Linked DNA regions of Macaca mulatta. The protein of the gene in region 1 purifies or fractionates together with the protein of each later gene. This does not show direct contact. Links are inferred from orthologs where the notes say so. Each region holds a gene or a part of one and is shown on either strand. Other genes may lie near its edges.

What was found. Proteins that work in one complex are often made in the same cells at the same time.
Region 2: the proteins of STX12 (region 1) and STX10 purify together in Homo sapiens (affinity purification with mass spectrometry; 3 studies listed by BioGRID and IntAct, counting the BioPlex papers as one, with this or other methods). This does not show direct contact. The link is inferred for Macaca mulatta from reciprocal best matches to the Homo sapiens genes STX12 and STX10.

The regions. Positions count from the first base shown.
Region 1 is NC_133406.1:213,166,907-213,171,387, reverse strand, and holds the start of STX12 (syntaxin-12), read left to right. Parts: upstream 1-1,604; 5' UTR 1,605-1,618; coding exon 1,619-1,736; intron 1,737-4,481. UniProt on the Homo sapiens protein: SNARE promoting fusion of transport vesicles with target membranes. Together with SNARE STX6, promotes movement of vesicles from endosomes to the cell membrane, and may therefore function in the endocytic recycling pathway.
Region 2 is NC_133424.1:13,721,159-13,725,603, reverse strand, and holds the start of STX10 (syntaxin-10), read left to right. Parts: upstream 1-1,543; 5' UTR 1,544-1,549; coding exon 1,550-1,584; intron 1,585-1,825; coding exon 1,826-1,995; coding exon of another isoform or gene 1,996-2,005; intron 2,006-2,147; coding exon 2,148-2,242; intron 2,243-2,640; coding exon 2,641-2,703; intron 2,704-4,445. UniProt on the Homo sapiens protein: SNARE involved in vesicular transport from the late endosomes to the trans-Golgi network.

The DNA of each region.
Region 1 (4,481 bases):
TCAAAAATAAAATAAAATAACCAAAACAAGAGCCCCCGGATGTCATCCATCTCTTTCTAGAGAGAGGGAAAAAAATGCTCTCAAATTCTCCAACGAAAAATAGAGATAGCCACCCTTAAAAAATCCTAAGGCTGGTGGTGATCACTTGAGCCCAGGAGTTCGAGACCAGCCTGGACAACATGGCCAAACCCCATCACTACAAAAAATAGAAAAATTAGCTGGGCGTGGTGGCGCACGCCTGTAGTCCCAACTACTTGGAGGCTGAGGTAGGAGGATCTCTTGAGCCCAGGAGAAGGAGGTTGCAGTGAGCGGAGATCATGCCACTGCACTCCAACCTGTGTGACAGAGCGAAACCCTGTCTCAAAAAAAATAAAATAAAATAAAGAAAAAACCCTAAGGCCATATACAGGCTCATTCACTTGGGGTCTCCTTTCACCCAGGCAAGCAGCTTTCCGTCTTTGCATTTTCCAAAGACTGCAAAGCAGGCTGGGGTGGGGTGGAGAACACAGGAAACAGCCAGTTCCCCTTCACTTCTCACCATCTTGATCTCCTCCCAAACCAAAATCCTATGTCTTTCCTTTTAACATACGCTTACAGAAATGCAGTCTTCTGTAGGAAAATTGAGGTCATGCATTCCAAAGTATTTAAGGGTATGATTTTTAAATTTTAGGAATCTAGTTCTCCAAGAAATCCCGGTTTGGGATATAGATGAACGAGCTATTTGGGAGAGATTTCGATGAGAATGAATTTTAGAGAAGTAGCAAGGTGAGGAGAGAGTCAGCTTAGCGTTTGGCTTTTGCAGTCAAACTTCAGCAAGGCGAAGTAACCTCGCTGGTCTTAATTTTCTCATCGGTAATAGGGAAAATAATAATGCTAACATTGATGAGTTACTTTACTTCAATATTTAAAAAACCGACTCTCCGCTATCTATTCTAATGATAAAAATGTAGACAGAGCATCGTCCCTTGCTGTGAAAAATCTTATGAACAAGTGAATTGCGGTGAGGATTCACACATAGTATGTGCTTAATAAACATTATTATTTTATTGTTTAGATTAGAAGAGGGGTGGAGGGAGAAATGAAAGCGGTTTGGAAACCCCAAATACTACCAAAACCCTGGGGACGGAAGTAGAGAGGAATTTCGGGTTACGATTTGGTTCCTGGTCTGAGTTTCAACGTTGAATACTCCCATATTTGGGCCTGAATTCTCAAAACAGAATAGGATGTAAGGGCTGAGATCATCTGGTACAGTTTTATGCAAATCGAAAATTCTTGCCTCTTGTCAATGTGCCCTGGCGAGAAACAACACCTCCACCCAAGCTCATCCAATCTCAGCCCCAACTAGGTGACGTCATCTCTCCGCCCCGCAACCCCCAAGCCCCAGGCAGTCCTGTCTCTAAGATACAGTCCCAGCCCCAGTCCCAGCGGCGCCTGCGCACTTTGAACAGGGGCGGGGAGGACGCGTGCGCGCTGCGTGGGGGCGGGACTAGTGCGCACGCAGCCTTAGCTTCTTCCCCGCCCTTGCTCTTCCCAGTTTCTCCGTCAGCCTGCGGGTCCCGGCTGGCGGCTGCTTCCGGTAGGAGAGTGGTGTAGGGCGAGCAGGTCTCAGCTCCTCATCATGTCATACGGTCCCTTAGATATGTACCGGAACCTGGGGCCCTCAGGGCCCCAGCTCCGGGACTTCAGCAGCATCATCCAGACGTGCAGCGGCAACATCCAGCGGATCAGCCAAGCCAGTGAGCCGGGGTACCGAGCTGGGGGGCGGGAGCTGTCCCCGGGACAGGCCTGGGTGAGACTGTCGGGTCGCGGAGCCCGGCTGGGACTACGGCCGAGGCCACACCTGGGGCTGTCTCGGGCTGTCCACCCTGGGGGCGGTGGGCTTGCCTCCCCCAGTCTGTCAGGCCCGGGCTGCCCGAGGGTCCCCGGCCCCAGCTGAAGCTTGAGCTGCTTCTCTGGAGTTCTGCCCCCACGGTTCTGGGACCAAAACAGCCCGAGGGTGGGAAGGGGAGTGTGTGTCATCTCGAGAGCTGTGAGTGCGTTGACTTGGCGCAGTGGTCAGCCGAGTTTCTCCTGTCATCCACCTTCCTCCCCACCCACCTCGCTTTCCTCTTAGGCCAGTTTGGATGGGGTTGTTTACTGATTTAGGCTTTAGGTTTACATTCTGCTCAGCCCCTGGCTCCTCGGAAATCAGCAACTTTCAATTAAGGGAAGTGGAGAGTGCATGTGTTTGGATGACTTCATACACAGTTCTTCCTGTAATGAATTCGGAAATCAGACACAATGACTGGTATTTGAGAGGTGGGATGACTTCTGTTTTAATAAAGATAATTCACCAGCAACATTTCAACTTACATTATTTTGTCTTTTGTAACAAAGCATTGGGGTGTATTTTTGGATTTCAGGCAGATGAGGCTTTTGTTTTCCTTCCCTACTTAGCTGCTCTTGAACAAATCTGGTACACAGGGAAGCTAAGAGACTTAGCCACAACCACAGAGCAAGTAATGCATGGTAGAGTTGTTGGTGGAATTCAGAATGGTATTGCTTGTCTTAAAACTCCCTCCTCCCCATTAGGGTCTGAGTGAAACTGTAGCTGAATGAGTCAAATACAGGGTGTTTCTTGGGCTTGAAAATCATCTTGGAGCCTTATAAACAGGAGATCAGCAACAGCTTTACTTGGAAAGAATGGTGGTCATCATCCTTATTGTTTATTATTGTGTTTTGTGAGCTTGGTGTACTCTGTTAATAGGTAGAACTAGTTAGTCCTGAATTACAATTCTGTATTTTAAATAATATCACTTTGCTTTAGTTTTTAAACTTTAAAAAATTTTTCTTTTTTGTAGAGATGAAGTCTTGCTGTGTTGGCCAGGCTGGTCTCAAACCCCTGGGCACAAGCACTTCTCCCACCTCAGCCTCCCAAAGTGCTGGGATTACAGGCGTGAGCCACTGTGCCCAGCCTAATTTTTTTAATTTAAAAAAATTAAATATTTTAAATTTGTTTTTAAGAGATGGAGTCTAGCTCTGTCACCCAGGCAGAGTGCAGTGATCTGAGTGAAGTAGAGCGATCCTAGCTGGCTATAACCTTGAATTCCTGATCAGCTTGCTGAGTCGCGAGGACTACAAGGATGCATCTACCATGCCAGGCTAATTTTTAAATTTTTTGTAGGGATGGGGTCTCACTATGTTGCCCAGGCTCACTTTGCTTTTAAATCTAAATGTATATTGTAGAATTTGAGAAGTTTCTGATCAAAAGCAGTTGAGACTCTGGAAGTGAAAGGAAGGGTATGTGACCTCTTAAAATCCAGAACTAAAAAAAAATAATATGACCACTGGTTAGAAAGTGTAGTACTTTTTGTTCCAGTTTCCTTTTGTGAAGGAGCTGTAATACAGGTTAGATCAGAAAATTCTAGTTCAAGGCTGAAATTTTCTTGTTGAAGCTAAATCTGATTTTAATATCTATTTGCAAAATATTCATTCAACTTGTATTCAATATTATATATATCATATATAATATTATATTTAATATATAATATAAACATGAAGATGGATAGATGGATACATGTTGAATGAATATTATATACATGCTGATATATATATATATATATATAAAACCAGAATACTCCCAAAGGTAGATCCAACATACATTTTAAAATTTACATTTAAATTTTTGTTTTGAGACAGGGTCTCACTCTGTCACCCAGGCTGGAGTGCAGTGGCATGATCTCAGCTCACTGCAGCCTCAGCTTCCCTGGCTCAAGCAGTCCTCCTGCCTCAGCCCTACAAGTAGCTGGGACTACAGGTGTGCACCACCATGCCCGGCTAATTTTTTTTTTTTTCTTTTGAGATGGAGTCTTGCTGTGTCGCCCAGGCTGGAGTGCAGTGGCACAATCTCCGCTCACTGCAAGCCCCGCCTCCTGGGTTCACACCATTCTCCTGCCTCAGCCTCCTGAGTAGCTGGGACTACAGGCGCCCACCACCACGCCCGGCTAATTTTTTTTTTTTTTTTTTTTTTTTTTTTTTTGAGACGGAGTCTCGCTCTGTCGCCCAGGCTGGAGTGCAGTGGCCGGTTCTCAGCTCACTGCACGCTCCGCCTCCCGGGTTTATGCCATTCTCCTGCCTCAGCCTCCCAAGTAGCTGGGAGACGGGGTTTCACCGTGTTAGCCAAGATGGTCTCGATCTCCTGACCTCGCGATCCGCCCGTCTCAGCCTCCCAAAGTGCTGGGATTACAGGCTTGAGCCACCGCGCCCGGCCAATTTTTTGTAGTTTTAGTGGAGACGGGGTTTCACCGTATTAGCCAGGATGGTCTCGATCTCCTGACCTCGTGATTCGCCTGCCTTGGCCTCCCAAAGTGCTGGGAATACAGGCATGAGCCACTGCGCCTGGCCCATGCCTGGCTAATTTTTATATTTTTTGTAGAGATGGAGTTTCACCATGTTGTCCAGGCTGGTCCTGAACTCCTGTTCTCAAGTGATCCACCCACCTT
Region 2 (4,445 bases), on another chromosome or scaffold:
ATTCCAGCCATGTGGGTGGGGAGGAGAGTTTCACTTCCTTCCCTCCAGGGGCCAGGAAGGCGTGACGCCAGGAAAGCACCCCGCAGCGGGTAGGGGCGACCGGAGGGCTCCCACGAAGGCCATCTCCCAGAGACGCTACAGAACGACCCTACATACACAAGAGACGACCCGCTGAGACCCCGTTCATCCCATCTCTCCCCTTCCCAATTATTTCCCCCATACAAGGCCCCCTCCCAGGTTATCCCTGACCCCTGCCCCACACTGATCTTCTCAGGCCTTGGGGCACCCTCCCGTCCCGCCCTCCCCCCGCACGGTGGGAACTCAAAAATTATTCCCCCTTAAAAGACCATTCCCAAACTCGTCCCCATTCAACGATGGTGCCACACTGCGACGACCTGCCGAAGACGCCCCCGTCCCCGCCCCACTAACCTTACCACGGAGACCCCACAATGACTTACCCGGCCCAGGCGCTATCTCTGAGACCCCACGCAGCAACTCTGACGCGCAAGGGGGCGACCCTCTGAGGACTCCCTCGGATAACCCGCCCACCCTCCAGGGGAGACCAGGCCCCCTACCACTCAAAAAAGTGCTTTCCCGAAGCTTCCCTCACCCCTCAACACACAGAGCGCCACTGTCACACATAGGGACGACCCTGAGTCCCTTCGCTGATATTCCTGGCCCGTACCCAGACGGAGACCCCACACAGAGGGCCCCCCTGGAGACCATCCTCAAAGCCACCATACCTCCCGCGACCCCCAGGCTCTCACCCAGAAAGAATCCGCGCTTCTGAAGACACCCACCTCCACGCACGCTCTCGAAGGTGACCTCCCCCCGCCCCTGGAATATCTGGGACCCCCACTCACGGCCACCTCGCCCCAAGGCGACCTCGAGGTGCCCCCAGCTTGCCCACTTCTCAGGAAAGAGAGATTTGGAGAATGCGGCAGAACTCCCCGCAGGAGCAGGCCCGCTCCTCGCCCCGCCCCGGCAGGGAGAAGGAAGGACCACCTCTCCCCCAAACCTTGCCCAAACCTGACACTCGGGACCCTGGACTGGGACGATCTCCCAGGTGCCAGCTCAGGGAGTCCATGAAAACGTTCAACCAATCGAATGAGCCCCTTCCCCAGCCATAGTCCCCAGCCGCCAGAGATAAGGGAGGCTACCATTATTTACATTGCCCGTGCCTGGAAGGGAAACTGAGGTTGAGCAGGAACAATCCGAGGAACTGAGCCTTGAACCGAGATTCCGAACTCGGACCCGAACAGGCCCAGCCAGAACTCCGACACCGCTCCCTACGGTGCGGCACAAGAGGGCGAAGGGGCGGGGCATGCGTACCGGAAGCTGCCTCTGCCCACAACCAAGATGGCTGCAGAGAGGGCGGAAGTGTCCGCACGTCCGGCCTCCGAGGCCTCTCTTTCTGCCCTGGCGGTCCCGCTCTCGATGGTGGCGTGACGGGGGGCGGGGGTGGTGGCGCGTTCTCCTGGGTTGGGAGAGAACCAGCCCGCGAACCCAGGCCGGGAGGGGGTTTCGGCCTGGGGGGAAGGGGATTGACATGTCTCTCGAAGACCCCTTTTTTGTAGTCCGAGGGTGAGTGACCACGACGGGGGAGGGCGGAGGGTGCTCCGTCCCCAATCCAGCTAGTGCCCGGGTGCCGGCTCCAGCGTGCCCGGCGGGCTAGGCAAGGCCGTCGGGGTGCAAAGTGGGAGGCGCACGCAGGGGTATGTGGGGGTCTCCGGAGTCCCCCATGCGTTTGGGTTTGCAATCGGGGGCAGAGGCAGGCGGAAGGACCGCCTGCCCCCAGCTGCGCCCGCCGTGCCCCTGCCCGCAGCGAGGTGCAGAAGGCGGTGAACACGGCCCGCGGGCTATACCAGCGCTGGTGCGAGCTTCTGCAGGAAAGCGCGGCGGTCGGACGCGAGGAGCTGGACTGGACGACCAATGAGCTACGGAATGGCCTGCGCAGCATCGAGTGGGACCTCGAGGACCTGGAAGAGACCATCGATATCCTGGGGCTTTGTGGCGGGGGGTGGCATGGGAGAGCTCACTGGGGTAGCAGGGGGCCTGGGAGCCCGCCCTCGGGGAGGGCTAGACCCCTAGGGAGGGGGATGATGATGCTATCTGGCTCTGGCCTTGACCCTTGACTCTCAGCCCACGTATAGTGGAAGCCAACCCAGGCAAGTTCAAGCTCCCGGCCGGGGACCTGCAGGAGAGAAAGGTGTTCGTGGAGCGGATGCGAGAGGCAGTCCAGGTCAGGAAAGGTCCTGCAGGCGGGGAGTGGGGGACGGTTTGAGTGTCTTTTTTGTTTTGTTTTGTTTTGTTTTCTTTTTTTTAACAGAGTCTCTGTCGCTCAGGCTGGAGTACAGTGTTGCCATCTTGGCTTACTGCAACATACGCCTCCCGGTCTCAAGCGATTCTCGTGTCTCAGTCTCCTGAGTAGTTGGGACTTCACAGGTGCCTGCCACCATACCCGGCTAATTTTTGTGTTTTTAGTAGAGACGAGGTTTCACCATGTTGGGCAGGCTGGTCTCGAACTCCCGACCTCAGGTGATCCACCCGACTCGGCCTCTCAAAGTGCTGGGATTACAGGCGTGAGCCACCGCGCCGGGCCTGAGTGTCTTTCCTCCCTAATGCTGTCCTCACTTCCAGGAAATGAAGGACCATATGGTCAGCCCAACAGCCGTAGCATTTTTGGAGAGGAATAACAGAGAGGTAAGCCTTCCTAACCCACTCGGTCCACCTGAGCGCCTGGGGGTGACCACGCCTTTGAGTGCAAGCCAGATCCCTCTGCATGTGTTCGCCTGTCCCTTTTGCGACAGTGCCCGTCCTCTCTGTGTGTAGTTGTCTTCTTGCTGTCTACCTGCCTGCACTTTCTCGGTGTGTGCACCTGAACTTCTCTGTGTGTATATGTCCATGGGTTCCTCTCTACTGTCTCCTCTGGGTCTATACTGGTTTCCTGTTGCAGGGGACGGCTGGGGGCCTGTGTACCTATCTGCTTTCTGCTTCCATGCCATTTGTCCTGTTTGTAGCTGTTTCCAGGACGCATGCCTGCCTTTTACTCTTTTTTTTTTTGAGATGGAGTCTTGCTCTGTTGCCCAGGCTGGAGTGTAGTGGCTCGATCTCAGCTCACTGCAAGCTCCGCCTCCTGGGTTCAAGCGATTCTCCTGCCTCAGCTTCCCTAGTAGCTGGGATTACAGGTGCCCATCACCATGCCCAGGTAATTTTTATATTTTTAGTAGGGTTTCATCATCCTGGACAGCCTGGTCTCGAACTCCTCACATTTCACATCAAGTGATCTGCCCGCCTCAGCCTCCCAAAGTGCTGGGATTACAGACATGAGCCATTGCGCATAGCTTCCTTTTTTTTTTTTTTTTTTTTTTTCCTGAGATGCAGTCTCGCTCTGTTGCCAGGCTGGAGTGCAGTGGCGCGATCTTGACTCACTGCAACCTCCGCCTCCTGGGATCAAGTGATTCTCCAGCCTCAGCTTCCTGAGTAGCTGAAATACAGGCACATGCCACCATGCCCGGCTAATTTTTTTTTTTTTTTGAGACGGAGTCTTGCTCTGTTGCCCAGGCTGGAGTGCTGTGATGTGATCTTGGCTCACTGCAACCTCCGCTTCCCGGGTTCAAGCCATTCTCTGTCTCAGCCTCCCGAGTAGCTGGGATTATAGGCTTCCACCAGAATGCCTGGCTAAATTTTGTATTTCTTTTTTCTTTTTTTTTTTTTGAGATGGAGTCTCGCTGTGTCGCCCAGGCTGGAGTGCAGTGGCCGGATCTCAGCTCACTGCAAACTTCGCCTCCTGGGTTTATGCCATTCTCCTGCCTCAGCCTCCCGAGTAGCTGGGACTACAGGTGCCCGCCACCACACCTGGCTAGTTTTTTGTATTTTTTTAGTAGAGACAGGGTTTCACCGTGTTAGCCAGGATGGTCTTGATCTCCTGACCTTGTGATCTGCCTGTCTCAGCCTCCCAAAGTGCTGAGATTACAGGCTTGAGCCACTGCACCCGGCCAAATTTTGTATTTCTTTTTTTTTTTTTTTTTTTTTTTTTTGAGACAGAGTCTCGCTGTGTCTCCCAGGCTGGAGTGCAGTGGCGTGATCTCGGCTCACTGCAAGCTCTGCCTCCTGGGTTCACGCTATTCTCCCGCCTCAGCCTCCCAAGTAGCTGAGACTACAGGCGCCCGCCACCACGCCCGGCTAGTTTTTTGTATTTTTAGTAGAGACGGGGTTTCACCATGTTAGCCAGGATAGTCTCGATCTCCTGACCTCGTGATCCACCCGCCTCGGCCTCCCAAAGTGCTGGGATTACAGGCTTGAGCCACCGCGCCCGGCCCAAATTTTGTATTTCTAGTAGAGATGGGGTTTCAACATCTTGGCCAGGCTGGTCTTGAACTCCTGACCTCGTGATCCACCCACCTCGGCCTCCCAAAGTGCTGGGATTAGGTGTGAGCCACCGT